7 linked regions of the Mus musculus genome follow. The protein of the gene in region 5 purifies or fractionates together with the protein of the main gene of each other region. This does not show direct contact. Links are inferred from orthologs where the notes say so. Each region holds a gene or a part of one and is shown on either strand. Other genes may lie near its edges.

Region 1 (4,872 bases), on a different chromosome or scaffold from region 5:
AGTGCTAATAAGCTTGGGCTTAATCTTAGATAAGCCACTTAGTTCTATTGCTACACTACTGATCTAAAATAGTCATATTAAAATTTGGGACACCAGTTGAAAATAGAGTAATGTATTTATATGCTTACAGCTCAGTTTAGGAAAAAACCTTTAACACATGTCCTACATAATCAAGAAAGCCATCCTCTTCACCCTATCCCAGTTCTATAAATTAATCTTCAGCAGGTACCACATTAGATATATTTCATTTGTACTAGACATTTATGTTACTGAATTTTTTTACTGAAGTAAAAGCTAATTCCACATTAAAAGAATTCCAGTAATAATAATAATAATAAAAATCAGCCACCTGTTTTTATAGCTACTACCTACCAGACAGCACTACATTGAACATCAGAAGGTAAGGCAAGCTGGTCTGAGTTACTAAACTGCTCACAGTCACAGACTGCCAGAGGAGCTGTGGTAAAACCAGCACTGTTTAGCCAAAGGCTTTTGTTTTGTACACAATATGGATACAGGTGTTAAAGACTCACAAAAGAACACCATTCTTTGTTAACTTCTTGTTAATACTTTGATAATCAAGTATAATGTGCATTGTGTTGGTAAACTGTCATATGCTGTTTAAGTCTGTTGAAAGTGGATGATGAGAGTGAGGACTCTCCTGTACCAACGCCAGTATGTTTGTTTCTAGTAGTCTCCAAATGTTCTCCAAAGTACCTCTTCCTGGAGCTTGGTGGGTACCTAATTCTATGATGGGTGAAAGGAAGAACAAAACAGCGCAAGAGTAAAACAATTTGTCCTTGAGAATAGCTAAAAGACTAGCCATTTACAAGACTGTTTATTGCATGGTATAAAAATGCCTTGGTAGAAACAAGAAACCAGAAGTTCAGCCATGGCAATCTCAAACATGGAGAGAAAAGAAAGTTCAATTGGTAACTCCAACCGACAGCCTCAACTTCTCCAGTTGATTTCTACTAGATGACTGTAAGTGCCCAACTTGATGATGTTATCTATCTACTATCTATCTATCTATTTTTCTTAACTTGGAAGCTTCACTTGGGTTCTCTATCAGGAATTTCAAATGGCTGCTTCAAATGGAATTTTCGCAGATGATTTCTGCTGTTACCTTTTGTTTGGTCTCTCAACTGTGCTATCCCAGTCATCCCTACTAAAGTGAATACTCAACTTGATGTTTTCTATCAACTACTTCTGTTACTAACTAGTTCTTTTACTTTTGCTTGCTATATATACTTAATAAATTCACTCATTTAAAACAGAAAGTGTGACTATTGTAGATCATTCTCTAGACTACACAGAACACCAAGGTAGCCCTATCAATTGCTTTTGGTGGAGAGTGGGTGAATAATGATAGAGTGTGGTACTTAGTATTAGCTTTGTCTGACAATCTAATATTGCCTTGCATAGAAGCATCACTACTTGCTGCTGAGATAGATGTGATCAGTCACCATGTCAAAAGAAAGAAAGAAAGCCCTAAAACATACTTGAAAATACTCTCTCCAAACCAAACAGTATCACTGCACAAGAATGCAGTGCAGTAGATTCCAACTGAAAGCAAAGAACTATTTTTTAGGAGATTGTCCTTCCTTTACTACCCTACGATACACACTTTGCTACTTGCTGTAATGCTTATTACAGTTCCCATTCAGAACTGATTAGCACAGGCCAACAGAAGAAAAGGGCATAGGAAAAAAACTGAGCAGCACAGGACCCCAAGTGGACAACAACAACACAAGTGAAGCTGGACTAAAGAACCCTGTTTCATATCTATACTGCGTTTGAAAAAACTGCGACAGCTGGCCCACAGTCAAGTGGATGTCACTTTCTTAGGGGATACCTTGCTAGGAACATGTATTCTAAACCATCATCCTGCCAGCAGAACGAGGAAAATAGCCAAGGCTTCTTGTCTTGAAAACCAGAACTCTTGGAGGGTGTGCCTCAAATGCATATCACTTGTGGTCTGCATCTGAATGAAAGCTGACCAGTAGTATGTACTGACTAGGGACAATTCCTACTGTTTCGTGCGTGGAAAAGCTTTGGGACTAACCGAAATTAAAAAAAAAAAGAAAAGAAAAGAAAAAAAGAAAAATGAGTCCCTTCTCCCAAGTCTCCCAGCAAGGTCTCAGAGGAGGATGGAGAAAAGCCAGGGCAAAAGGAGAGACCAAATGCCACCACCTCAAGAGGGCCCACTTCAATTCCCTTTATATATAATCAGTGCTGAGCCTCTTAAATACCTCGTTCTAGAGACAACCTACCAGACGTAATGGAGCCCACTTTAGCAATGTCTTCAATAAGAACAGAGAACAACAGTGCAGGGCCCAAGAGAGCAGAGGGCAGATACTCAAGATGACGGAGTTGATGGCAGAGGCACAGGCCTAATAAAGAAACAAAGGGTCCAGGCCCCAGGGGTTCTCTCCAGCTACTTTAGATCTTTCCCCAAAGGGGTCTTTTTTTTCTCCTCTGTAGGATACTCTGCCTTCTTCCCAATATCCACCCTAGGTATAATTTGTTTCAATCATGGTCAATGCCCGACTTGCCCTTGAGCTAATTGCAAACATTTCCTACTTAATTAGAAATAGGTTGTAGAACTAGAGCAATCAGATCCCAGAATTAGCAACAGGCGGGGGGTGGGGGGGCACGCTGGAGGGGAGGGAGGTGCTGGGCAGGGAGATGGGGGGGCGGGGGTGACAGGCGCTGGGGTTCGAAACTCTCGGAGATGGTAAGATACACGGACGCTGGGGAACGGGTAACCAGAGCTGGAGAAGGGATATGGAGGGAAGGGCCGAGGGGCAGAGACGGCTCTACCTCGGCGCTCAGCAGCCCCCGTATTGAGTCTCGGAGAGCAGTTCTTCAGACGCTTCTGTCGCTTCGGACGGACCTCAGCCGCTGTAAACATCCGCTGCTACCTCTGCGCGTGCGCGGGCTCTACCTGAACTGAGCATGTGCGGTTGGAGGACACTCTTAAAGGGGCAACGGCACAGCCCACGAGCCTGCCACTTTCCACCCACTGGTTTGAGTTAAGTGTGTCCCTGCCTGATTGGTCAGTCACTAGGTGGTCTCCGAGCATATCCCGGCCTAATGATATGAGAAGATGCTGGCGTGTCGACGGGAGAAGGGCATTTTGCCTGCTTATGTCCACTCAAGGACAAAGCCCCCACAGTAGAAAAGGCAGGAGTTAAGAAACAAGAGTGATAGATTGGGTCCACTCTCCTGCAGGAGTTACAACACAAATGACTGCCGGCCCTGACCCTGCCAGGCTACCTGGTCCAGGGGATGGCCATCTGCACACTTGAACCTTGAACCAGCAGTTCTGGCCACTTCTAAGAAACCTACAAAATAGACCAAAGTCTAAGTGATCTTTAGGGCTACCTTTCAAGATTGTTCTGAGTTTTTGTTCTATTTCATTGGGATTGCACATCTCCTCTATACTGCTTGGAGGGTACATGTTGAAGGAAGTAGTGTCAAGAAGGAAGGAGTCTGGACGCCTGAGTCAATAGCTGTAAGAAAGTCACTCAACCTGCAGTTGATTGTGGTACGAATGAGGAGAAAATGATTCTACTATTTTTTAAAGTTTGCGTGGGAAGGCTAAAGACCCGAACTAGATAACACAATATTGATCAAAAACAAAACAAAACAAAAGTATAGGCCTAACAACATCTGATTTCATGACTTACTATTAAAATTACAGTAATCAAGAGTCATATGGGGGAAATAAATTGATGCTATCAAATACAAAACTTAGGTTAGAGCTATACAAATATAGTAAACTCACCTTTGATAAGAGAACAAATACAATTCAATGGAGGAGTGCTGGTCTTTTCAACAAAAGATGCTGGAATAATTAGACATCCACGTGTAAAAATAATAGAGACATAGCTCTTCCAAATTTGATTTCCAGTACCCAAGACACTTGGCCTTTGCAGGCACTCAGGCATGTGCACACACACACACACACACACACACACACACACACACTTAAAGGTAAAATATATCTTTTTAACACTGGCATCATTTCTCTGTAAAATATACTGTCAGAAGAATAAAAAGGTAAGACATAGACTGAAAAACAATATTCCCAAAACACATATCTGATAAAGGATTTCTAAAAATCCTTAAAACTCAACAATAAGAAAATAAACAGCACAAATAGAAACGGGAAAAAGCTATGAACATATGACTCAGCAAAGGAAATATACAGATGGCAAATGAGCATATGAACATATCAACATAATTTGTCATTAGGTGATGCAGATTTATAAAACAATGAGATATCAATACACACCTATTAGAATAGCCAAAATTTATAAAATCTATAATTCACCAAATACTGGTGAGGATGTAGAGCAACAGCAGCACATCACTTTCATTGCTGGTGGGAATGAGCAATAATAAAGATACTCTGGAAAATAGTTTGTCAGTTTGCTACTGAACTAAGCAACGTCTTAGAAGATGTGACAGCAAACAAGTGTAATGCCAGCACTTAGTGGTGGAGGAAGAAGGACCAGGAGATTAAGGTCATACTTTGGCAGTGTAATAGGTTCAAGACTAGCCAGGGCTGTACAAAACTATTCCAACATACATAAAACTTTTTAAAAAATCACCATTTGAATTCCTAGATATTTACCACTATACACAAAACCAGCACATGTAGGTAGTATAACAGCTTCATTTGTAATCATCAAACATTAGAAGCAACAAAAAATATTAAATAGATGGGAGGTATAGCCACATAACTGTTTTAATCAGGGATTTTTTGAAAAGTGAGCTACTGAGCTATGAAAGGACATGTAGCAACCTTACACACTTAATTGCTTTTTTTAAATTTGGTGTGTCTGTGGTGTTTGCATGCATATG
Region 2 (4,072 bases), on a different chromosome or scaffold from region 5:
CTTTGCGCCAACTTCCAAGTGGATCACAGGTATATAACATGTTCAGCTTGGCAAGGAAAAAACATTTTTTGAGTAGTAACTAGGAATCTAACTTAGGACATCGTGAGTGCTAGGCAGGTAGTCTCCTACTGAAATATATCCTCAGCTCTCTTTTACTTTTTAGTTTCAGGTAGATCTGACTAATAAATGAATTGAATCCACAACTGTAGCTTTAAAAGGCTTGGCTTGGCAAACACTCTATAAGGCTGCAGTTCTTAGCCTGTGGGTTGTGATCCCTTTGGCAAACCTCTATTTCCAAAAATGCTTTCATTAGGTTGAGAACCACTGGTTTAGGGCCTTCATGACTGTTGTGTTTTTCTTCAAATGAAATGATGTACCTATCAGAGAATCAATTATCAGACAAATTTGTGGGCCAGGAAGTAACCTAGTGCCTAGGCTTGGCAAAGAAAGAGACAGGGTGTTCCTACCTTCATGTTCAACAGCAGGGGTCCTTGCTGCTACGTGGAAGGCTCCACCTCTTGTTTCTGTTTGGAAATGAGCTGCGCTTCCTTTAGGGACAGGTACACCTCTTCCTGAGGATCATAGTAGTAGAACTTTCGAATGTAAGAGATCAGAGGTCTGTGGAAAAACAAGGAGACAGAGAGGGTACCATTTACAGGGACATTTCTCAGAAACTATGACTGCTGTTTCCTTTAAGAATACATCTCTTGCTGAGCCCTCCTCCCTTCTCCATTTCTTCATATTGTATGACACACACATCTTGCTCCCTTTGCTGCAATGTCACAGCTCTAGAGTTAAGTGCTAAGAATCGAAAGAACACTGCCTACAAACGCTTTACGTCAGGCTTGGCCTCCAGGAGCAGCTTGCAAGCGTCAAAGGCACTTCCACTTCTAGTTCACTCCCTCCCCACCCCAAACCCTGACAACCCCATTGTACTTAGGCAGTGGCAGATCCGGAATATGGTCTATTCGGACAAGCTGCCGGATCCGGAATCTGCAAAGATGCTGGAGGGACTTGACATTGCTGAATCTGGACACTGGATAGAGCAGCTGTACTGGAGTTGGTGGCAGTCCTTCAAGAATAAAACCAAAGGAAGATACTCAGAATAACGAAGCTAACTACAGCTCCCAGAAGAAGTGCTGTGGGGAAGATGTCACAGGGCTATTTTAGAGTTCATGTATATACTCTGTGTTAAAGCCCCTTACAAAGGGCTGTTGAGAGCCATCTGTGAGAGCACCATTACCATTCAAGGGAATTTCCTGTCCTCTGATTACCTCCCCAGCAACATTTTGGTTTATTGACAGGCTAGCCTCAACCTAAAGCAATCCTCCTGTCTTAGCCTCCTGAGTACTGGGACCATAGATGTAAGTCCCAATACTTGGGTTCCAGAATCACTCTCCTTCTTCTTCTTCTTCTTCTTCTCCTTCTTCTTCTTCTTCTTTTTTTTTTTTTTTTCAAAACAGGGTTTCTCTGTGTAGTCCTGGCTGTCCTGGAACTCACTTTGTAGACCAGACTGGCCTCGGACTCAGAAATCCACCTGCCTCTGCCTCCCAAGTGCTGGGATTAAAGGCGTGCGCCACCACTGCTGGGCCCAGAATCACTCTTAATTGTGGAAAATAGCCCAATGAACAAGACCACGATAGAGCCTGCTTGGAGCCAAGGGACCAAGTCCAAGCGTGAGGTTCTCAGGGAAGGACAACCCAGAGCCTCCCTGTTGGGAACGGGGATACTTGTGCAGCACTATTTAGCAGTATCTTAAAGATCAGAGCTCAGGATATTCAGAGGTACAGTGGTTTGAATAGCCTTTATGGCCAGAAAGGGTCACATGTTGAGAGGCCAGTCCTTTCTGTGGAGGTTTTGGTACAGAATATTTCAGCTCAAAGGCCCCACAGCATTCCAACTAGTGAGCAGGAAGGGGGCAGGTGGAGCTGGTATCCAGGCTGCCACTCCTGCAACTGTCTACTCAGGCCAGGCCAGGCCAGGCCAGCTTGGTACTTTTCTTCCCTCGCTATTCTCCCTCTCCTACTGGAGCTTAGGCTGGGTTACAGGAACAACACCAATGCTTCTGAAAGACAGCTACTGCAGCTGCACAAGCTGGGCCTCATGCAACAGTGCTCAGGTGCCTGTCCTGTGTACCTGCCAGGCTCCAAGCAAACACTCCTACATGGGTCAGAGCTCCTGTGCTGGGGAAGCCCAACCCCCACAGTCAATGCCACAGAACCCAGCCACCAAGGACAAGGACATCAGGGACTAAAACATTCAAATGAACTAACAATGTTCTGGTTTCCATAGCAATGGGACTATGAAGATTAAGAGAAGCAAACTAAAGATTGAGAAGTGGACTGGAGAGATGGCTCAGAGGTTAAGAGCGCTGACTGCTCTTCCAGAGGTCCTGAGTTCAATTTTCAGCAACCACAAGGTGGCTCACAACCATCTGTAATGAGATCTAATACCCTCTTCTGGAGTGTCTGAAGACAGTGATAGTACACTCACATTTGGTTTTTCAAGATAGGATTTTTCTGTGTAGTCCTGGCTGCCCTGGAACCTGTTCTGTAGACCAGGCTCTAGGCTGGCCTTGAACTCAGAGACCCACCTGCTTTTGCCTCCTGAGTGCAAGGACTAGAAGTGTGTGACACCACACCCAGCTAGGAATTATTTTCTTAGCCACTGTCATATCCAAAGAAATACTACAAACACAAATGGTTAGAAAATAAAATTCTACAATTACTGGGGTTTAATTTCAAACAGCTTTAAAATTTTTTGATTGAAGGCCTGAGGAAAAAAGGAAGTGAAGGCTGTAGATTGTCTCCAAAGCCATGTCATGGTTGCTGACGTGTTCCCTCATGAGGGTCCAGGGGGAACAAGGATTCTATCAGGAATTGCGCTAGAGGCCACTAATGTACGATTTTAGCCAAGAATGTGCCTTCATTCTGTTTACAGCTTGAGAACCTGAGACAGAGGAAAGCTAATGGACTAATTTGTTTGGCAAAGGAAATTTCAAAACCAGAGAGTGCTCAGGCTAATCCTGAGAAAGCAGTTGTAATTGTTAGAGACCAGCACCACTGAAGGGAGAGTGCCTATCTTCACTAACACAACAGGAAGGCGTCCCGAAGGAAAGCTCTGCCCTTAGAGGTCCATCTTGTGTGTGAAGACCTAGATTCATTTTAACAGAGAATCCAGGCTCTCAAACCCCCGGAACCCTGGAAAGCCGGAAGTGTTTGATTCTATAGGAACTCACAGTTAAGACCTTGGACTTGGCCTGGCAGTGGTGGTACACGCCTTTAATCCCAGCACTTGGGAGGCAGAGGCAGGTTAATTTCTGAGTTCGAGGCTAGCCTGGTCTATAAAGTGAGTTCCAGGACAGCCAGAGCTACACAGAGAAACCCTGTCTCGATAAACCAAAAAAAAAAAAAAAAAAAAAATAGACCTTGGACTTTTTTAAAAAACTGGTGATGGGTCGGCAAGGTGGCTCAGTGGGTAAAGACACTGAATTCAAGCCCGGCAGCCTGAATTCAATCTCCAGAGCCCATATGGTAGATAGAGGAAAGACCCAACTCCAGTAAGCTGTCCTCTGATGGTTCATGAGCACTAGGCACACAAATGTATATACATATACACAAATAAATAAACACAATTTTTTTAATTAAAAAGAAGATGAAATTGGCTGGGCAGTGGCACCCGCCTTTAAGCCCAGCACTCACAGAGGCAGTGGATGTCTCTGAGTTCAAGGCCAGTCTGGTCTACAGAGTGAGCTTCAGGACAGCCAGGGATACACAGAGAAACTCTGTCTTGGAAAAACAAAAAAGATGAAATTGTTAAAGACAATGGGGATCGTTAAAGTCAGTTGGAATATATAATATACATTATTAACATGGTCATGAGCCTCTAAGGGGCAAGAGGTGGAGTTGTGATAGTTAGCACGGCCATTTAACAGATCTATAATCACCGTGGATGCTGTGAGCATGGCTGTGTAGAGTACCCTTGATGATTTTTAGCTGAGGCAGGAAGACCCATTCAGGTAAACACTGATACAAATGAAATAAATCTAAAGAAAAAAATTTAAATTTTTTTT
Region 3 (4,072 bases), on a different chromosome or scaffold from region 5:
GTATTCTTCATACATCCCAGCGAGGGGGAACTTGCACCACGTGGCAAAACAGAACCCTGCCGTCTCTTTTGCCAAGCCTGGTTTTGAGGCTAACACCTCCCACTTTTGTTGGATCGGCACACAGTAGGCTGTTAGAAGGCAGTTAGAAGTCTGCGTCCTAAGCATTGACAGCAGGCCCTGTCCTGCTGCACCAAGCTAGAGGAGACCTTAGTCAACAGGTCATGGTGGCCTGACCCTTGGCCAATAGAGAGGTGCTAAGTTCCTGGAACTCATTCAAGCCCCATGTGGAAATCCTGGCACCCCGCCCCAGGCCAGCCCAGTGCCATTATCTAAGGTGGGGCCTGAATCCGGGCTGTACAGCCAAGGTCAGGAGCCCCTGCCTTCAAGGGTCCTTGGCCAAATTCTTTTCCTGCTCACAGGGTCTTTGGAAATCTACCTGCTCTGCTATAAGACACTGGAAATGGATGACAGTAAATGTGCCTAAGGAATGGGGATGCTAGGTTCCTCTATCAGCCATGCCCCAACACACCCCACCCAGTGTGCTGAAGAGCAGGCACATCTGGCAAATGGCCTCAGGCTCCAGGCGTTTTGCTCCGGGCCAGGGGTAGGCAGGGTGTTTTGGCAGGTGGCTGAATGCCTATGGAATGTCACATCAAATCCCTTCTCAGCCTGTGGGAGGCCAGCATGGGGAGGGCCTCTGATGCCACATGCCCAGGGTGTGAGCAGAGAACAGTGGCCCAGCCAGGTGGCAGGGGCTGCTGGGAATCCAACTTTAACCCTTCGCTGGGAAACCCTCAGGAAAGCAGTTGTATGCATGTACAGGAAGGTCTGGGGCTCTGGGGGACAGTGTAGGAACCTTTGGGGCCTTTGGTTCATTTTCAGTGGCTATTTCTCTTCCCCTATCCATCCCCTGCCTCACTGACAGTGCCAAACATAATCTGTTCTCTTTCTTCTGAGAGTCTGAGAAGTTAGAGCACCCCCCAGTGTGGCACCCAGGGCACACGGCATGGCTTTTCTAGTAACTGTGAATTACTGTCTCACTATACCACTGTGGTGAATGTTTCCTTTGAAAACGATTTTAAGGAAAAGGATATTTTAAAACTAGTGAAAGTTGTCTAAAATCAAAAGAAAGCTTGCCAGGGTCTGTGACTGGGAACTGCCCTACCAGTAGAGGATATCCTAGGCATGGGGATGGTCCCACTGAGGCACGAGGCTCTTAGCTACCTGGTCAGTTTCTTCTTCTATAAAAGGGGCTGTCCCACAGCTCGGCAGTGAGTCCACACTTTAGAAATGACCAGTGTCCATCTGCAAGGACAACCAGCATCCCCCTGACCACCCCACCCAATCACCCTTTCCCACCCACAGTGTATAGGTGCTAAATTCCTAGCAATTGGCTCTCAGATGAGTGGGGTGTTGGAGGTGCCAGAGAAAAGCTCACTCCATGGTGTACAAGCTCCCACCATGGTCAGTGTTGTGCTACATGTGAGTGAACATGTTCCTGGGGGGCGGGGCTGCAGTGGACACATGAGCCCAGACAGGCAGCCTCCAGTGCGCTCTGCTCCAGCCCTTGCCAGGTCCCTTCTACGGGGGCCAGCATGGAGCTTAGGTCTGGATGATCTTTCATCACATCATGAATGCGTGTGGACTGTTCATCTCTGTGTTTGTGGGGGGAGAGATTTCCCTCCCACAGACTGCTTCTGGAGAAGTTGAGCTTCTCCCACCCGAGCATGATGTTTAGGGAGGTACCCGGTGACTGGTCCCTGTCCGTTGCTGTGAGCATCCTCAGCAAACAGCTAGCTGACCTGCAGGTTATCTCTGCATCCTCCCACCCCACCGAAAAACAAACCAAACCAAACAAGCAAACAAAGAAAGAGTCCTCTCAGGGGCCATGGAGATCAAGTGCCCTGCCCCGCCCCTGCCCTCCTTAGGCATCCCCGGAGAGCTGTGCTATACACAGTAAGGGCTATGGACTGACCTATAGTTGCCCTTCTTGGAGGCAACATGCAGGGGGAGCAGGCCGTCCTTGTTGGCTTTGTTAGCATCGGCGCCCTGAGAGAGAAGAAACTCTACCACGTCTTCATGCTCATTCTTGCTGGCCTCGTAGAGGGCTGATGCACTGTCACTGGCCTGCGTGTTGATGTCTGCACCTGGAGAGGGAGAAGCAAGCAGAGCCATGAACGATCAGTGGTTCTGCCATAATTTAGTGCCACTGTGTGGTGAGCACCTCCAAGCTAACCACTGGGTGAGTAGGCTGGGCCATGCCTACTGCCTGAATCCAGGAGGACCCATCAGACGTCAGAGCTAAGGTAAGTTCCTTGTCACAAAACCTCGTCTACCCTGTTTCTCTGAATCCATATGGAGTCCTGAGAGGCCAAGTTTTTCATCACAGACCAGGACACAGGACATGAGAGGACTCAGGATAACCCACTCATAGATGTGAAGCTACACTTGAATGTATGGTCGGAAGATGTATTCTAGACTAGGCTTTCAGCCCTCACTACGGGCCCTAGGCTGTGTGCCCTGGCAGCAGCAGCAGCTCCAGCTAGGTACAAAGCTCCTTAAAGGAAATCCTACTGACTGTTAGTTGGATTTGGGGTTGATGGTTGTGGTTGGTTGTGGTTGGTTGGTTGGTTGGTTGGTTGGTTGGTCTGAGGCATCATCTTATGTAGCCCAGGCTCGCCTTGAATTCCATATGTAGCCAAGGATGGCCTTGAACTTTTGAACCTCCTGCCTCTAACTCTAGAGTGCTGGAGATTGGACCCAAAGCTTTGTATAGGATAAGCAAGCACTACCAACTGAGCCACAACCCCAGTCCTGGGCTTGTTTTGTTCTCCATCTGAAATAGGAAAGAACTGGCTTCTGCTATCTTCTTAAGGAACCATGGAGGGACTGGAGAAATGGCTAACTGGTGAGGACCATGTACACATCTTACAGAGGACACGGGCTTCAGTTCCCAGTACCCACAGTGGCTCACAACTACCTGTAACTCCAGCTCCAGGAGATCTGATATCTGTGGGTAGTTATACATCACACACACACACACACACACACACACAAACACCCATACACACACACACACACACACACACACTTTAAAAAAATCATGAAAATAAATTTAAAAAAGAAACTAAACACTGAGCCATGCTTGTAGGAAGGGGGCTGAAGCCTGGTAGCAGCTTCCTGCCATCATCTTATCTTTTACATCTTCTGCATCTCTTGGAGTGAGAGAGCAAACCGGTGTGCACATGATTTCTCTGTAGGCTCCACACTGTAGACGAAGATTAGCTGAGATAGCTCAGTAAAGGCTGAGATCAAAGGCTTGTGTCAGCCACAGCTCCTCTGTCAGAGCCATCTGCTCCTCTCACCCTTTCCGATGACTTCATTTTCAGCAGCGGAGGACTTGTCCTGGCCTTCTGAGAAGAGCACCAGGCCTTGAGGGCTCATCAGGACCATGAAAGTTTCTGTACCATGACTCCCAAGCTCTGGGGCCTTAGACAGCTTTTAGAAGCCTCAGTTTACCTGCTTGTTAGTCAAGAGTCATAGTCCTGCCCTCTCCTGTTTAGGGTGAGGTGTAAATAACATAACAGAAACATAGCACCAGCCTCAGAAGCCACTGCTGTCTAGACAGAGCTCAGGGCAGAGACTGTCCCTTCCCTCAGAGGAACAGTATAGGGACACCTTTAACAAGCCCCTGGGCCTCATGCTTAGGCTCCCCCGCAGGCCTAGGCTTGAGCAAAGCAGCCTGCTCACATAAGGAAAATATTTGTATAGGAACTGGCTTTAACTCCCCATGAAGGGAGCAGTCCCTGCCTCAATATCGGCAGGGAAGAGGGCGACTGCCTGGAGAGGAGGTCCCCCTCACCCACTGCACCCTTGCCCTCAGCACAGCTTGCTGGCCTGGGCTCCAGGACTCCACTGAGTTGTCAGAGTGTTCATTGCAGTCATCCCTGGCTAAGAGCCTTAGTCAGGCCCAGGGTCCATCTCCTAGGCTGAGAGGCAGACACAGGTCAGATCCAGGCTCTTACAGTGAGCAATCACTTAACCTGTCTGAGCCTCGATCCCCTCAAGTATA
Region 4 (3,479 bases), on a different chromosome or scaffold from region 5:
TTTAAAATCCTATTTTTTGTATATTTAAAATTTGACAATTTTAGAAAGTTTTAAATCTTATTTTTAAAATTATAGTATACAAGTTAAATGGGGGGTAACCCCTAAGGTTAGAGATGCCTCTGTTTTTTGTATAATATAGCTGCTGCCATGAGGAAGCACTTGGTAGTCTTTTCTGGCTTCCCTAACTACTTCCATATACTTGGCCAACATGAACGTATCAATACTCAGTGGATGGTCATAGCCTTTAGATCATACATGGCTAAGAGTGCCTTCTTGAGGACCCAGACTATCAGCCTCTATCACTAACCAGGCCGGCTTACTTTGAGGCGGTCCACTGCTCTGAGGTCTTCTTTTGCTCTGCTGTTCTTTGCTCTACAGCATTAAGTGTGCCTGAGGAGGAACACTGTGTGGGTGCTATGGCAGCACCCAGGACACGGTGGTGGAACACACCGCACACATGCTCGCACAAAGTGATGCTTCCTGTACATGCTTCCATCCTTCCTCACTGCCTTCTGCACTGAGCATCTGTGGACCCACCAGCAACCTTACAGTACAGCTAGACAAAAGGACTACACAATGCAACCCATGAAAGAAATATCGGCAATGTAGTAGTTTTGTGTCGTTTAATTAAAAAAACTCAACAGGGATAAAAAAACAAGCATTTTACATAATGCATACATTCTCAACATCTGCAGATGAGATAAATAAAAGAAGGCTAAAGCAGACATACTGTGTATTGCTTCTCTTTGGTAAGTTACCAATATCCTCTGCAGAAATAAAATATGTTAAAAACAAAACCCATGGTCTTAAAATAATTGTCCCTTAGTATTAACAAAATATTCAGCAATAATACAGTAGATGTAGTTTTCAAATTGACAAGAATGCATAATACTTTATTCTCTGAGGGGTAAGTAGCTGCTTTCCAAAATTAAGGCTGATGAGAGCCAACCTTTTTTTCTAGCTACCTTTTTCCTTGGCTCTTTTTTTAATCATCACATTCAAACTCCCAGACACCATTCTTTTGGAAACTCTTTTTCACATCCAAAACCTCTTATCAGTTTCACACCATCTATCCTGACCAATTCCATTTCCTATGAGGCAATTCATCTCATCTAAACTTAGTGCCCCCAAATAAAAAAAAAAAGAACAAAAATTCCCCTGAATTTGCTCTAATGAACAGCACATATACAAATCGTGGCTCTATTAAAGCAATATATACAGGTCAGAACTAAGAGAAAACTAAAGGGCCCATTCAATATATAGCAGCAGCTCATGTCTAAATATATACATGTATGTAATGTTTTCACAGTTATCTTAAAAAAATTACATGATATGTTCAGAAATATTTCTATGGTGTATAAATAATGCTTTAAAAGTCCAACTAATGAAATGAAGAATAAGAGTGGATTCCAATTAAATAAATCTGCTGAGCCTCCAAGGACAGACGCTTGAGCTGGTAAAGCTTGAGGTGTGTCTTGTAAAGGGCGCTCTGTCTGGCAGGCCTACCAGGAAAGGCAGTCTTCAGTCTAACCGCGGTAGGAGAGAAACGCCAATATTTTGGAAGGAACAGGCAGTTTTTGGACTTCTTGGGTGGACATCACTCTTCGGATTGACATGCGACATATATGTTGAAGGCTAGGGACTTGCCTTGGAGTGGCCCAAAAATACACACTTCCATCATGTGTCCTTCAGAGAAATGGAAAAACAAAATCATGGTTACACAACTACACTTGTCCTATGTCCCTACAGCTGTAGATCAGATCCATACATCTCACCTTAGACTCTAATAAGAACTCCAAGGCAAGGCAAGTAGCAGGATTATATAAAGAGTTTGTCTAGGAAATTTACAGAATCATACATAAAAGAAAAATAAGTTTTCAAAAGAAAAAGAAACAAGAAAAATGTATTTACCCAGCAGCTAAAACACTGCCATCAGTAGAAAAGGCACAGCAAAGACCATTGCTCAAAGGTGCAACTTGTACCGGACAATCCTCATCGATTCTCCAGAACCTCACCATTCTGGAAGGGAAATCCAGAATGAGTAAGTCAGAAAGCAATGCTCCTGTCCTGTGTTCTGATCACAGCATGCATACGCACGAGTCACTCAAACAGCATGGTAACTTTGGTTGAGATGGGCTCATATGCACACAATCCGGGCCAGCATCAAATTCTTGAACTTGCTTTTACTGCCCAAAGGGCTGGGATTACAGGTCTGTCTTCTCCACCTAGTTAATATGTTTGTTTTGTTTGAGGTTGGGTCTCACTACACAGTTCAAGCTAGAAGCTTCCCAAATGCTGCAATTACAGGCATTCTATACTATCGTGCTTTATATATCTATACAGACTAGTTTACATTTTATTATCATTTGGTAATTTGGATAAACTCCAAAGAGATTACAAGGCATGGCTTTGAACCTGTAATGTTCACAACTGGAAGCTTTGTCATTTTCTTACAAATAAAATATAACACAATCTGATTTACTCCTTTCTACATTTGTCTAATCTCAAAAGCAGTGGCCATCAATTTACAGGTGTATCACCACAGCCAGTTAAGCAAAAAAACAACACCTTCCAAAGTGTTGTCTAGAAAGACAGGATGGGCATGGTGGTTCACATAGAATTCTCAGCATTCAGGAGGCAGAGGTAAAAGGATCTTTAGTTCAAGATCAATCTGGCCCATATACCAAAACCATTTCAAATACAAACAACTCCTGTACAAAAACCTAAATCAAGCTTATGAGTGTGTTATGAGTTAAAGCACACTTTCATTAAAAATCACGACTACAGACAAAACTATATTATACTCCATAATACTCACTTATCATCAGCAAGGCTGGCAACATGCAGTCCATCATGACTGAAAGACACAGCTCTCACCCATCGGTCATTTGCTCCTCCAGCAAATATTGGAGTGGGCGAGGGAAACAGGTGCCTGGGGTCAGAGACACATTTGCAAAGTTTCAGAATCAATTCAAGAAACAAAATAGCCCTGGTACCGAGTTCACTGGCCTCTGAATAAGGTTTAAAGTGGGGCTTTGATGATACAACTAAGACTGAAGAGAACTGTTACAGCCGAATTCAATGAAACAGAGAGCTGTTCATTTTACATTTTTGTTAGGGATTCTAACTTTATACAAATTCTTCAAATCTATATATACTGAAAGCCAATGTTGGGTTACTAACTGAAATAATTCATGTGGTACTCACCCAAACTCCATCAGAAGGTCTCCATTGTGTGGATCCCAGACATACACACGAGTGTCATAGGATGCAGTAGCTAGCAATGCTCCATCAGGAGAAAAGTCACAAGCTACAACATCATGGTGATGACCTTCCAGCTTCCTAATCATGGTGTATTTATCCATATTCCAAAGGAAAACCTGAAATAAAAGAGGGAAATGTTATAGTTTCACTCAGACACACAGAGGACAAAGGGGCACATCTTAAACTAAAATTGCTACTTTAATTACATCAAATTA
Region 5 (4,072 bases):
AATCACAATCCAAACGTTTATGCAGTACCTTCAAGCATATGACAATGTAAACGCATGATAAGAGCGGAAAGGAAAGAGCTGGCTCAGAGAAAGCAATAAATGTTCTCTTACTACATATATAGTGAGTGACACAAGCAATTAGGACTGATACACAGTACTACAGTAAACTACCTGCCAGTAATATGTAGGAAGTTCTGTCCGGTGGAAACAGTTTATTCTGGAGTTCATATTACAGAGTCAGAACTAAATGCAGTTATAATCAAGAAAGCATTAGCACAGTTTATAAACTGAGAAGAACTAACTCACTGATTATAAACTTAACTGTAGTGTGTCTTTGTTAGAACTCCTTAAACACATTTAACACCAGCTCAGTCTCTCCCTCTTCTCATCCTCTTTCGTTTTCCACTTTGGCAATTAGCCTCTTTTCATATTGTTTTTTATAAATTCCTCAATATTGTGCATTTTGTGTTGAAAGTCATATTTCGAGTGTCATGAATTTAAAAATTTTACAGTAGCTTAGTTATGTAGTTCAGTGGTAGAATGTATGCCTAACATGTACAAGGCCAGAGATTTAACTCTCAGCACCAAAAATCCAATTTTAGAAGCCATCCCAGCTATGTGACACAATGCTATTTTAAAAACAAAGCCAAACAGAAAATAAAACAAACCCATAAAGTCCTTCTAAGTTCAGCATCTGGGAGTTCCGTTGCAAGTTTTAGATTTTCAAAGCTGATTTTCTCTCTAGGCCTTTGGTTCCATGCAAACAACACAGCCAACTGAAACGTGGTTACTTCCAAATCATACTGACCTACTTCATTTTTAAATGTTATCTGTAATAGATAATGGGCTTTAATAAGTAACTCATTTCTTCATGAAGCTTACTCCAATACCTAGTAAATGCACATAAGATACTATGGGAAAATGAGATTGCTAGTTTTCCCCAAGACCCATTCTTCCTTACTCAGAGGTAATAATCTTAGCACACATACAATGCATCGCCCAGATTTCCCTGCAGCTCAATGTGGTCACTCATGTGACTTCATTCTGTCCAATGTGTTTGAAGTAGAAATGGTGAGGAGAATGCTTATAGGTTGCCTTAAAAGAAGGTTCTTCTCCCTTCTTGCCCTCCTTTTTGCAGGGAGACAGAGAGGGTTGTTTGGGGATCAGACTGGATTCTACAGTCAAGAGGTCTGTTTGGTAAGCAACACAATGATGAAAACTACAGTCCTGAAAACACAGCCACTGTTCTTGTTCTTAGCTTTTTGTTTTGTTTTTACTTTATTTTACATGTGTGGGTGTTTTGTTTGCATAAATGCCTATGCACCACAAATGCCTATAGAGGCCAGAAGAGGGCATCAAATCTATTTGGGATTGAAGTTATGAATATGTGAGCTGCTATGTGGTTGCCTGGAATTGAATCCAGATCTTCTGGAAAAGCAGAGTTCGTAACCACGGAAACATCTCTCCAGCTCTTAAGTAACACTTTCTACTAACACCCAAACTGACAGCCCATCTACTTACAATTCCATTTGACATGAGATGGTGCCAGTGTAATTTTCTACCACTGTGATTTTTTTTGTAAAATTCTTCTACTTCAGGTATCAAATCCTCCAGTTCAGTAGGAAGTGAGACAAAGACTTTCTCGGAGCTTCTAGACCAAGCACCAGCATTCAAAATCTTTATATTAACGGAATCAGCTGCAGGTAAGAAAACCAGAAATCATAACTTTTTGAGACAAGTTAAAATTTGGTGAAAAATCTTGTTTAAGAAAGATTTTGTTGGGGGCTGGTGAGATGGCTCAGTGGGTAAGAGCACCGACTGCTCTTCTAAAGGTCAGGAGTTCAAATTCCAGCAACCACATGGTGGCTCACAACCATCCGTAACAAGATCTGACTCCGTCTTCTGGAGTGTCTGAAGACGGCTATGGTGTACTTACATATAATAAATAAATAAATCTTCAAAAAAAAAAAGAAAGATTTTGTTAAAAGAAAAAGAAAGATTTTTTAAGCTTAAATATATACTTATATGTAATTATAAATAATACCTGGTAATGCCAACTTATTATTTTTGTGCATTTCCTTAAAAGCTTGGTTCAAGTCTTCAGATACTTTTATGTCCTGAAACATTCTAGCAAGCTTGTTCACATAATCTGCTGGCATACCAACTTCCTATGAAAATAAAGACAGATAATAATTATATATAGTGTAATAAATACTATTACATGATTCGTATTAAATAAACAGTAGTTTTTGGTACTCTTTGCTCTGTTCAATTCCAGTGTGCATGGATTTCAGTTACCACAGTGTGAATAAAATCAACTCCCACTCCAACTACTGTTGACACTATGTAAGATAAATGTGTTTGCATGGACTGCAACCTACACCTTTAACTCCTCAATCCATACGGTCAGGACAAATGACAGAAGGCTGTCACTGGTATAGCTCAGTCATAGCATGCTAAGGGTCTTTGTACATGGTCACTAACTAAACCCATTCATCAGGATGGCCTTGACAAATTCGAGGAAGATGATCCTCTAAGCCTCTACACTTCCTTTATTTACAGTTAGGAACTACCACTCCAGCCTCTTAAAAAATTACATCGGTTACTATTTATTTACAAATATGTCTATAGTTAAGCATTTCTTACCAGACATGGTTTTAAAAAGTTGCTGTTTTGTCTTGGATACTACTTAAGTAAAATCAGTTAAAATTGAGAGTGGAAATGAAAGTACAACAGTAAAAAGAAAGCAAGATTAAAATTAAGAAAATTCACGTTATTAGATACTACTATTTATATATTTTATTATATATTCTTATAAAATGAATCTGTCTGACATTAATAGCAATTCTAAAACAATTACTTTAGCATGCACATGAATAATATGCTGTATCAATAACAGGAACATAAAAAAAAACACTTTAGGCAAATGAGATGGCTCATCAGGTAAAGGTGCTTGTTGAAACAACTCATCATCTGCATTCAATTCCTACACCAAGGTAGGAATCTGTTAAATTTCAAATCCAAAACAGTCACCCAAGATGCCGATTTAACATATCTGAGATGCATATTAACATATCAAACAGACTTGGCCTCTGAGTTCTCCTGGCATCCCTCAGCCCCCTATTCCAGACATTTTGGTTATCCTCCCCCATTCTGTACCTCTGGCCTCCTGGCTGCTAAATCTGGCTCCAGTCTCTCCCTTCACCTTTCTCTCTCCTCTCATGGCTCAGGGTCATGACCACCCTGGACTCTCCCAGCTGTGTCTGCCTCTTGCTGTGTCTCCTTTTGCTTACAATAAGCTTTCACCTCCACCACACCTACAGCATCAGTCACATCCCTTTCTTTTTCTTTCTTTCTCCCTTTTTTTTCTCCATTCATCTTTTGTAGAAACCAAGGCAGTGACTTAAATGAGTTCCCTTCCCAAGGAACTCCGCAGCTCCTATCCAAGCTGCTGAGCTGACTGTCCTAAGGAATGTATGGGCCATTTGTTTCTGCTGGCTTCTGCCACCCGCCAAATTTGATTCTCTCAGCTGCTTTTTCCCTCCACCTTAACTCCCTACTACACTCTTGTGGGCTGTCCACATCTCTCTGGAATAGCCTCTGAGGCCTCCCCACACTAGCAATTCTATTTAATAAGACACTTGCACCTCTCTAGCTGTTTTCTCTTCTACATGCACTAACATGTAGACAAAACAGTGAGGCGCCTATTAAACACCACCAATAAAATTTTTAAAAATTGTTGTACTTACTCTTAGCCACTCTACCATGTTTTCTTCAATCTCACTATCAGCAGAGATGTCCAATATGAGACGTCGGGTAAGATGAGCTTTGTGATACCTCATAAAAACATCTTTGTTTTGTACATATTTAAGTACCAAGAGCTGCACAGAAGACAAAATTACTTTCAATTCTTATATACTCAGCCATTTCTTTCATGTAGACCTTTCTATATGCCCAACAGCAAAGATGAAGAGATTTACAAAGACAGGCCTGTTAGAGTACTCATCTCTGAGAAACTAATTCTAAGTAACTGCTTCAACAGCAAATCTGTTCTACAGCAAATCTTGCTTCT
Region 6 (4,072 bases), on a different chromosome or scaffold from region 5:
AACAAGCTTTCAGAACAGCCTAACCTCATCATGGAAGCGTGTGGCTCGGTCCTCTGAAGAACATTTTCATGAAATGTAGCAAGCTTAGAAAGGAAAAAAAGAAAATGTGTAGTTTGAGGATTAGAAGGACACCAGGAAGTGGGATGGAGCTAAATCTTGTGTTCAAGGAGATTAATAGGTTAAAGATATCAAATGGAATTAAGGGAGTGGTGACCTTGGGACAAGATCCCACAAAACTCAACTTCATCCTGTGAAAAGGAAAAGCTTATAGAAATCCCAACACCACTGGAGACAGAGGCCAGCAGATCTCCGAGTTCAAGGTCAGTCTACAGAGCCAGGGTCAGTCCAGGACAGCCAAGCTGAAGGAGCTAGAAAAGAGAAAGCTGGTGAGAATGTAACAGGAAAAGGGGGTCGTGTTCCAGCCCCCAGCAAAGCAGCAGAACTCGGCAGCTTTGGCAATGTGGCTCTGGGTTTAGAGTCAAGAGTAGAAGGGGTTACTGGGGCAGCTGATGCTGGTTAGCTAGAAGTAAGAGATTAGTGGTGATAAAGAGACCAGCATCTCTGAGGTGAAATTATTTTAACGATCTATTTATTTATGTATATGAGTCCACTGTAGCTGTACAGATGGTTGTGTACCTTCATCTGGTTGTTGGGAATTGAATTTAGGACCTCTGCTTACACTGACCAACCCTGCACGCTCAGTCTCTGCTCGCTCTGCCCAAAGATTGATTTATTATTATAACTAAGTGCACTGGCCGGGCAGTGGTGACGCACGCCTTTAATCCCAGCACTTGGGAGGCAGAGGCAGGCGGATTTCTGAGTTCGAGGCCAGCCTGATCTACAGAGTGAATTCCAGGACAGCCAGGGCTACACAGAGAAACCCTGTCTTAAAAAAAATTAACTAAATAACTAACTAAATACACTGTAGTTGTCTTTAGACACACCAGAAGAGGGTGTCAGATCTCATTACAGATGGTTGTGAGTCACCATGTGGTTGCTGGGAATTGAACTCAGGACCTTTGGAAGAGCAGTCAGTGCTCTTACCTGCTGAGCCATCTCTCCAGCCCAAGGTGACATCTTCTGGGAAGTGTTTTCTGAGAGCACAGAGACTGTGTTCCAGAGATAGCCAAGGTTGCACCTCGTGCTGCAGCTGGACTTGGTGATGTGTAAGAGTCACCCAGGTAGTACTGGTCTTGAAGGCATGAAGGGGTCATGAAGAGCAGCTGAGGCTTAGCACTGTGAGAGGCCATGGAAGGCCATGTGTGAAGGTGCAGCCTCTGTTGTACTTTACGGCCTATGGCTGAAGGGGTCATACAAAGGAGTTGAGGCTTGGCACTATGAAGAGAGCCTATGAGAGGCTATTGGTAAAGTCTAGTTGAAGCAGAAGACCCCAGTATGTTGTAGATGCCAGTACCATGGGATGATCACCAAGAGTGGCGGCAGCAGTGGAGTGGCTCAGCCCGAGCCTAGAGTGCTACAGGGGGCAGAGCTGGATGAGTGACCCGAGCCCAGATCACGTGTGGGTCCCAAACATAGGAACAAGAAGCTGTAAAGTCGAAGTTCCTTTGGAGACCCCAAGGTGTTAGAGATGCCAGAGCCATGGGCTATCTGCTGAGGAGAGCTGCTAACAGGGAGTGGAAGCAGCCCAAGAAAAAGAGCTGTGTTGCAATCAACAAAGCTGAAAGAAGATGGAGAGGCAGTTTGGTGTTTGGTCGTGCTTTGGTCCTGTATTTCCTCACTATAACGTTTGGAATGGTAATGTATATCCTGTGATGTCAGAAGTATGTGATAGGCTTTTGATTTTGATATTAGAGAGGATTACAGTTAAGAGATTGCATGAATCTCAGAACATACTTTGAATTTTAGACTTCTAATTTTAAACATTGCTGAGACTGTGATAGACTATGGGGACTTTTGAAGTTGGGGTAAATGCATATTGCATTGTGTTATGGGTACAAGCCTATATGGGGGCCAGGGAATGGAATGTGGTAGCTTGAATAGGTTTGGCCCCCTTAGATGCATGCATCTGGATGCTTGACTCAGAGAGAGCAGCATTATTAGGAGGTGTGGCCTTGTTGGAGGAAGTCCATCTCTGTGTGGGTGGGCTTTGAGGTTCCATAAATGTTCAAACTGTTTAGTATAAAGCACAGCAGGCTCCTCCTTCTGCCTGCGCATCAAGATGGAGAACTCACAGCTCCTTCCCCAGCACCACGAGCACCGTGTCTGCCTGGACATCGCCGTGCTTCCACCATCCGTGCAACGGACTGAAGCTCTGACGGCTGTGAAGGAGTTTCCTTGGTCATGGTGTCTCGTCTCAGCCATGGAAACCCAAACTAAGACACAGGGTGTGAAGAGCATCTTAGGCCCTCTGTAAACTAGGACTTTGAGATGATAGTTTGAGTGAGGCAGCAGCTATCCCAGCACTGCAAGTTTGTGCTCTTCCTGCCAGTGAGGTTATCTGAGTCTCTGTAGGGTTAAAAGCACAACAAAGTGAAAGAACTGAGTTCTGTCATCATTATTTTTCCTCCTGGTTTCCATTAATCACACGATAAGTGTCAGGGTAAAATAATGCTGTATTTCTCTCAGCAGTAGTGCAGACTTGGACTTCATCCTTCCCTCCTTCTTCCCTGCCCAGGGCAGCAATGCTCATAAGCAGAGAGGTGGGCACTGGTTAGCCTGATAGCTGTCTGAGGTCAGACAGTTTTCTACGTCCCTCATCCCATCTTGCTCATCACTTCCCACATTGTTGAGAGCATTGCATGACAAAGGCAGTGGGAGAATAAGCAGAGGACTCTCTGACAGCCTCTTCCTTCTCCCAGTGCCCTGCCCAGTGTAAAATAGTTCCTTCCTCTCTGCAGGTCAATGCCCTGGATGGTTACAACCGAACGGCCCTCCACTATGCAGCAGAGAAAGATGAGGCTTGTGTGGAGGTCCTACTGGAGTATGGGGCAAACCCCAATGCACTGGACGGCAACAGAGACACCCCGCTTCATTGGGCAGCCTTTAAGAACAATGCTGAGTGTGTGCGGGCTCTCCTGGAGAGCGGGGCCTCCGTCAATGCCCTGGATTACAACAACGATACGCCGCTCAGCTGGGCTGCCATGAAGGGAAATCTTGAGAGTGTCAGCATCCTTCTTGATTATGGTGCTGAGGTCAGAGTCATCAACTTAAAAGGCCAGACACCCATCTCCCGCCTGGTGGCTCTGCTAGTGAGAGGACTTGGAACAGAAAAAGAAGACTCCTGCTTTGAGCTCCTCCATAGAGCTGTTGGACAGTTTGAATTAAGGAAAAACGGCATCATGCCCCGAGAAGTGACCAAAGACCAGCAGCTGTGTGAAAAACTGACTGTGTTGTGCTCAGCACCAGGGACGCTTAAAACCCTCGCCCGCTATGCTGTGCGCCGTAGCCTCGGTCTCCAGTACCTGCCCGACGCAGTGAAGGGTCTCCCACTGCCAGTGTCTTTGAAGGACTACCTGTTACTCTTGGAGTAGCTTGGAGGAGGCATTGCTGCCGTCATGCGGACGGCTTTGGGTGAGGCTTCCTTGCCATCCTGTCTCTTTGTTGTCAACACAGAAAAGAAGGTGTTCCTGCTGTGTGGTTTATAGATTTGAGGCAACACATAACAGTGACTTATGCATCGCCTCCCCTCCCATCCCAAGCAACCAAACCAAAACCATTTACCTCACTTGTTTGCCGTGTTATTGCTTAGTTGCTTTTTTATATTCAGCCCTGCAAAAGAAGTCTTCCCCGGATCCCTTAGGCACTTCAGTCACCAGTGTAACCCATTTCCTAGGAAGATGTCACGTTCTCAGAGTGCACAGTTCCCTTTGGGGCCGTGCTGTAGCACGGTGACAGAGTTCCTTCTGAAAAGTTCTAGTTGATATGACAGCTAACAAATGAACCCCCAGTTAACAAGAATTATGCTCCAAGGATGAGTGCTTGAACTTCAGGTGCTGTGTAGACACAGAATTTGGCATTCAGGAGCACTTCCATATGGTACCCAGGGGCTAGTCATCCAGTAGGTGGGACTTCACCCGGATATCTGGCTGTTCCCCTTAAAAAGAAACACTAC
Region 7 (3,476 bases), on a different chromosome or scaffold from region 5:
TCCCCTGAGTCCCAGAGTCAGAGCATTCCCTGGAGACAAGCTCTCTCCTGGCAGGAATGGTGCACCTGAAATTTCTTTTTAAACCTCCATTTTCCCATATTATTAAAGTATGATAATAAATCCCAGAGTCTGGGGCAGATCAGTGGTACAACATAACTTTAGGAGCCCAAAGAAACAAACAAAAACTGTATATGTATATGTATGTGTACCCTGGAATAAATAATACAAAACTAGAATATGTGGTGGGTGTGTAGCATAGAGAACACTCAGTGAATGTTCTGTTTCTGTGCCGATTTTGAAATTTCTTTCTTAAAAAAAGTATTTTTTTTAATTTTCTGGATTTTTTTTATGCATGTATTTCTGTGTATCACATGCATGCCTGGTGCCTATTAAAGTCAGAAGAGGGTAGTGGATCCCCTGAAACTGGAGTTATAGGCAGTTGTGAGCCACCATGTAGATGCTACAATTTGAGCCTGGGTCCTTTGGAAGAACAGCTAATGTTATTAACTTCTGAGCCATCTTCACAGACCTTGAAACTTTATTTTCTGTCATAGATGCAAAGAGGAAATGGTCAGGCTGCACATCCCTCGGTTTCATGTGTTACGTTCAGAACCTTTGGTAGTAAAACAGACTAAGAGGGAAATAGCAATTTCTACTTAGGGTTTTCTTAAGTGTTAGCTTGTGTTGTCAGATTATTAAAATTTAAAGACTTATTTTTTCTGTCTCTGGATGCTGACTTGAGTATGTGACCAATTGAAGTGAGATCAAGCAAGTGGAAAAAGTACATACACGTTTCATGTAGTCATGCTGAACCAGTAGTCTTCTTTCAAAATGAGCTAAGCAACGTAGTGTTTCTTTTTTATTGTATAAAATGGGCTGGATGCTTATCTTAATGTATTGCTTGTGTGTATGTGTATGTTTTGTAAGTATTCATGATAGTGTGTACATGTTGGGGGCCACAGGAGGATGTTAGTATATCACTTGCCTTGATACAGGGTCTCTCATTGGATCTGGAGGTAGCCAGCAAGCTACACTGATGCTCCTGTTTTTGTCTGGGTAAGAGGTGCTGGCCGCCACTGTGGCTTTTCCATTGTTTCTGAAGTTCAAACTCAGGTCGTCATGCTTTCACAACAAGAGCTATTACTTTTCCAACCATTTATTCAGTCCACTGTTAGTGAAAATTATGTTTGTTTGTTTCTCCAGCCTCTGTTCCAAGCCTAACCCATCTTTGTCGTTTGGAAATTCGGGCCAGTCTAAAAGCAGAGCACCTTCACTCTGACATTTTCATCCATCAGTTGCCACTTCCCAGAAGTCTGCAGAACTATTTGCTCTATGAAGAGGTTTTAAGAATGAATGAGATTCTAGAACCAGCAGCTAATCAGGATGGAGAAACCAGCAAGGCCACCTGACACAGGTCCTTTAATTCTGTTTAGTCACAAAAGACGGCTTGTGTGACTGTTTGGATTTGGTGATCAAATGTCCATGTTTACAGTTGCTTTTCCCAGTTTGTGTCTTTCCCAATATTGTGAACCTTATCCATCTTGCCTTACTCAGTTTTATTTCTAGTGCACTTTGTTGTGTATTATTTGTTTACCTGACCATTTTCTACTTTATTCTGCTAATAAACTGTAATTCTGATGTGGTGCTGGATGTGACTTCTTTCTACTTAGGATTCATGTTCACCTGTGCTAGAATCTAAGGATAGAATCCATAAATTTCCCCAGAAGAATTTATAACATCTGTCCTTTTGAATTATATTTCATTATTATTTTACTTAGGGATGAATATCTTCAATGTTTATTAAGAGGAAACTTTCCTCCATGTTATAATCTGTTCTCAGTCCTTAATTCAAACATTTTTGTGAGGTGTTGATACTCTTGCATTTTCACATGTAAAATCAGGAGTCCTTTAAAAAAAAAAAAAAGAACATAAAAAGTCAGTCATATTGTTGATCTCTCGCCCCCTAGGTTCATTCTTTCTTTATACTTTTGGCAAAAGATACCTGATTTTTAGTTTGCAAAGACAAGAACACATCTAAACTCAAAGTCATACACAGCATAAACTATTTTATGTCATCTTTAGAAGTATTTTACTGCACTTAGAATATTAATAAAGAAACCTGAAAAGGACATTCATACAGCACTATCTATAGGGAAAGAATGCACACTTTATTAATTTAATGCTAAATATAATAGCCAGGCTTCATTCAGCTCCAGAATAAGAGAGCAGCTTTGTTCCTGTTAGTCACCAATAGTCAATTATATCACATCAATATAATGTTTTTCTTAATGTCTGGATGTATTTTCAGATCGTGGATGAAATATGGACCTCAGAATACTACTGCCTTGTGAATTTTTACAACTATTTTATTTAAACCTCGAGTCAAGAAAAATCAAACATGATCAAATCAGTTATTTAGGGAATTGGAAACTAGCCTTAAGAAGGTACTAGAGTGTTGCTGTCAATATAGACAGAACAGGCTGGTTTCTAAAGGAGGCAAGCCTTCATCTCTTGCCAGCAACCTGAGACTGGGTAGATCAGCTGGTCGCATTTTGATAAGCCCTTGAAAGAAGCATAATGTCTTACTGATAACTGATTGGGAAGACAAGCTCATCTTTACATTCAAGTCTTGTTTTGTGAGGATATAAAGTTAGGTATTGAAAAGTAGGCAGAAATTCTGATAGTTCTGGTTAATAAAGATATTCCAAACTTTTAAAATTTTATTTTTAAAATAATGTGACTTTTATTTTTCAAACTCTGTATCAGGTTTTGTTTTTGCTTATGGCCAAGTGTATATAGAGTGCTTTAAAAGAGTTTACCTTTTAATGTATTTTGTTCATGTCCAAATGTATTATAAAACCCTGATTTCCCATAAGTTATTATTGTGGTTTTCTTTTTGAAGCTCTGAAAGTCAATACAGATAGCCCCTGGCTGATGAGTTTTTGACTTTATAGTAGTGGAAAGGTGACCAGCATCTCATAGAAACTGCACTTTGAAGCTTGATCGTCTCCTAAGGCAGCAATACATAGTATGAGATTCTCTTGGATTCTGATGATGCTGAGCAGTGATAATGAGTTGTGACACCTGGCCAGCCATGTGACTGGAGGGTGACTGTAGAGGGCATTAGTACTCATAGTTAAGTACTGGAGAAACCAAGAACATTAAACACATTGGCTTATATCTTCAGTGGGTGGATGTGTATACCTGTTTTTCCAGGCACATGTAATTGTGTCAGGAGTTACATGTGGGTAAAACTGATACCAGGAGGTCCATTACTTAGGTCTTCATGGGACTTGAAGCAGTTATTTGAAAACTCCTGCATTCTGATGAGAGCCAGTGGGGGCCTCAGGCATCTCAGGAACACATTCCCTTTGGGAGGAGGCAGTGTTTCTTAGTTAAATATGGTCATATTTGACAACTTGCACACACTAGCATAGTAATTTTATAATCATGCTATTTCCATTTTTCTTGCCTTT

The links.
Region 1: the proteins of Cul5 (region 5) and Pcmtd2 purify together in Homo sapiens (affinity purification with mass spectrometry; 4 studies listed by BioGRID and IntAct, counting the BioPlex papers as one, with this or other methods). This does not show direct contact. The link is inferred for Mus musculus from reciprocal best matches to the Homo sapiens genes CUL5 and PCMTD2.
Region 2: the proteins of Cul5 (region 5) and Socs7 purify together in Homo sapiens (affinity purification with mass spectrometry; 4 studies listed by BioGRID and IntAct, counting the BioPlex papers as one, with this or other methods). This does not show direct contact. The link is inferred for Mus musculus from reciprocal best matches to the Homo sapiens genes CUL5 and SOCS7.
Region 3: the proteins of Cul5 (region 5) and Asb2 purify together in Homo sapiens (affinity purification with western blotting; 5 studies listed by BioGRID and IntAct, counting the BioPlex papers as one, with this or other methods). This does not show direct contact. The link is inferred for Mus musculus from reciprocal best matches to the Homo sapiens genes CUL5 and ASB2.
Region 4: the proteins of Cul5 (region 5) and Wsb1 purify together in Homo sapiens (affinity purification with mass spectrometry; 4 studies listed by BioGRID and IntAct, counting the BioPlex papers as one, with this or other methods). This does not show direct contact. The link is inferred for Mus musculus from reciprocal best matches to the Homo sapiens genes CUL5 and WSB1.
Region 6: the proteins of Cul5 (region 5) and Asb8 purify together in Homo sapiens (affinity purification with mass spectrometry; 3 studies listed by BioGRID and IntAct, counting the BioPlex papers as one, with this or other methods). This does not show direct contact. The link is inferred for Mus musculus from reciprocal best matches to the Homo sapiens genes CUL5 and ASB8.
Region 7: the proteins of Cul5 (region 5) and Asb3 purify together in Homo sapiens (affinity purification with mass spectrometry; 6 studies listed by BioGRID, counting the BioPlex papers as one). This does not show direct contact. The link is inferred for Mus musculus from reciprocal best matches to the Homo sapiens genes CUL5 and ASB3.

Annotation. Positions count from the first base shown.
Region 1 is NC_000068.7:181,835,936-181,840,807, reverse strand, and holds the start of Pcmtd2 (protein-L-isoaspartate O-methyltransferase domain-containing protein 2), read right to left. Parts: upstream 2,955-4,872; 5' UTR 2,824-2,954; intron 2,600-2,823; exon of another isoform or gene 2,274-2,599; intron 1-2,273. UniProt on the Homo sapiens protein: May act as a substrate recognition component of an ECS (Elongin BC-CUL5-SOCS-box protein) E3 ubiquitin ligase complex which mediates the ubiquitination and subsequent proteasomal degradation of target proteins.
Region 2 is NC_000077.6:97,386,112-97,390,183, reverse strand, and holds part of Socs7 (suppressor of cytokine signaling 7), read right to left. Parts: intron 1,073-4,072; coding exon 937-1,072; intron 619-936; coding exon 498-618; 3' UTR 468-497; intron 1-467. UniProt on the Homo sapiens protein: Substrate-recognition component of a cullin-5-RING E3 ubiquitin-protein ligase complex (ECS complex, also named CRL5 complex), which mediates the ubiquitination and subsequent proteasomal degradation of target proteins, such as DAB1 and IRS1.
Region 3 is NC_000078.6:103,328,370-103,332,441, forward strand, and holds part of Asb2 (ankyrin repeat and SOCS box protein 2), read right to left. Parts: intron 2,148-4,072; coding exon 1,976-2,147; intron 1-1,975. UniProt on the Homo sapiens protein: Substrate-recognition component of a SCF-like ECS (Elongin-Cullin-SOCS-box protein) E3 ubiquitin-protein ligase complex which mediates the ubiquitination and subsequent proteasomal degradation of target proteins.
Region 4 is NC_000077.6:79,238,777-79,242,255, forward strand, and holds the end of Wsb1 (WD repeat and SOCS box-containing protein 1), read right to left. Parts: exon of another isoform or gene 3,381-3,479; coding exon 3,208-3,380; intron 2,933-3,207; coding exon 2,819-2,932; intron 2,020-2,818; coding exon 1,912-2,019; intron 1,687-1,911; coding exon 1,527-1,686; 3' UTR 606-1,526; downstream 1-605. UniProt on the Homo sapiens protein: Probable substrate-recognition component of a SCF-like ECS (Elongin-Cullin-SOCS-box protein) E3 ubiquitin ligase complex which mediates the ubiquitination and subsequent proteasomal degradation of target proteins.
Region 5 is NC_000075.6:53,622,114-53,626,185, forward strand, and holds part of Cul5 (cullin-5), read right to left. Parts: intron 3,882-4,072; coding exon 3,750-3,881; intron 2,169-3,749; coding exon 2,045-2,168; intron 1,698-2,044; coding exon 1,522-1,697; intron 831-1,521; coding exon 669-830; intron 1-668. UniProt on the Homo sapiens protein: Core component of multiple cullin-5-RING E3 ubiquitin-protein ligase complexes (ECS complexes, also named CRL5 complexes), which mediate the ubiquitination and subsequent proteasomal degradation of target proteins.
Region 6 is NC_000081.6:98,135,225-98,139,296, reverse strand, and holds part of Asb8 (ankyrin repeat and SOCS box protein 8), read left to right. Parts: intron 1-2,858; coding exon 2,859-3,491; 3' UTR 3,492-4,072. UniProt on the Homo sapiens protein: May be a substrate-recognition component of a SCF-like ECS (Elongin-Cullin-SOCS-box protein) E3 ubiquitin-protein ligase complex which mediates the ubiquitination and subsequent proteasomal degradation of target proteins.
Region 7 is NC_000077.6:31,099,834-31,103,309, forward strand, and holds the end of Asb3 (ankyrin repeat and SOCS box protein 3), read left to right. Parts: intron 1-1,203; coding exon 1,204-1,409; 3' UTR 1,410-2,871; downstream 2,872-3,476. UniProt on the Homo sapiens protein: Probable substrate-recognition component of a SCF-like ECS (Elongin-Cullin-SOCS-box protein) E3 ubiquitin-protein ligase complex which mediates the ubiquitination and subsequent proteasomal degradation of target proteins. Recognizes TNFRSF1B.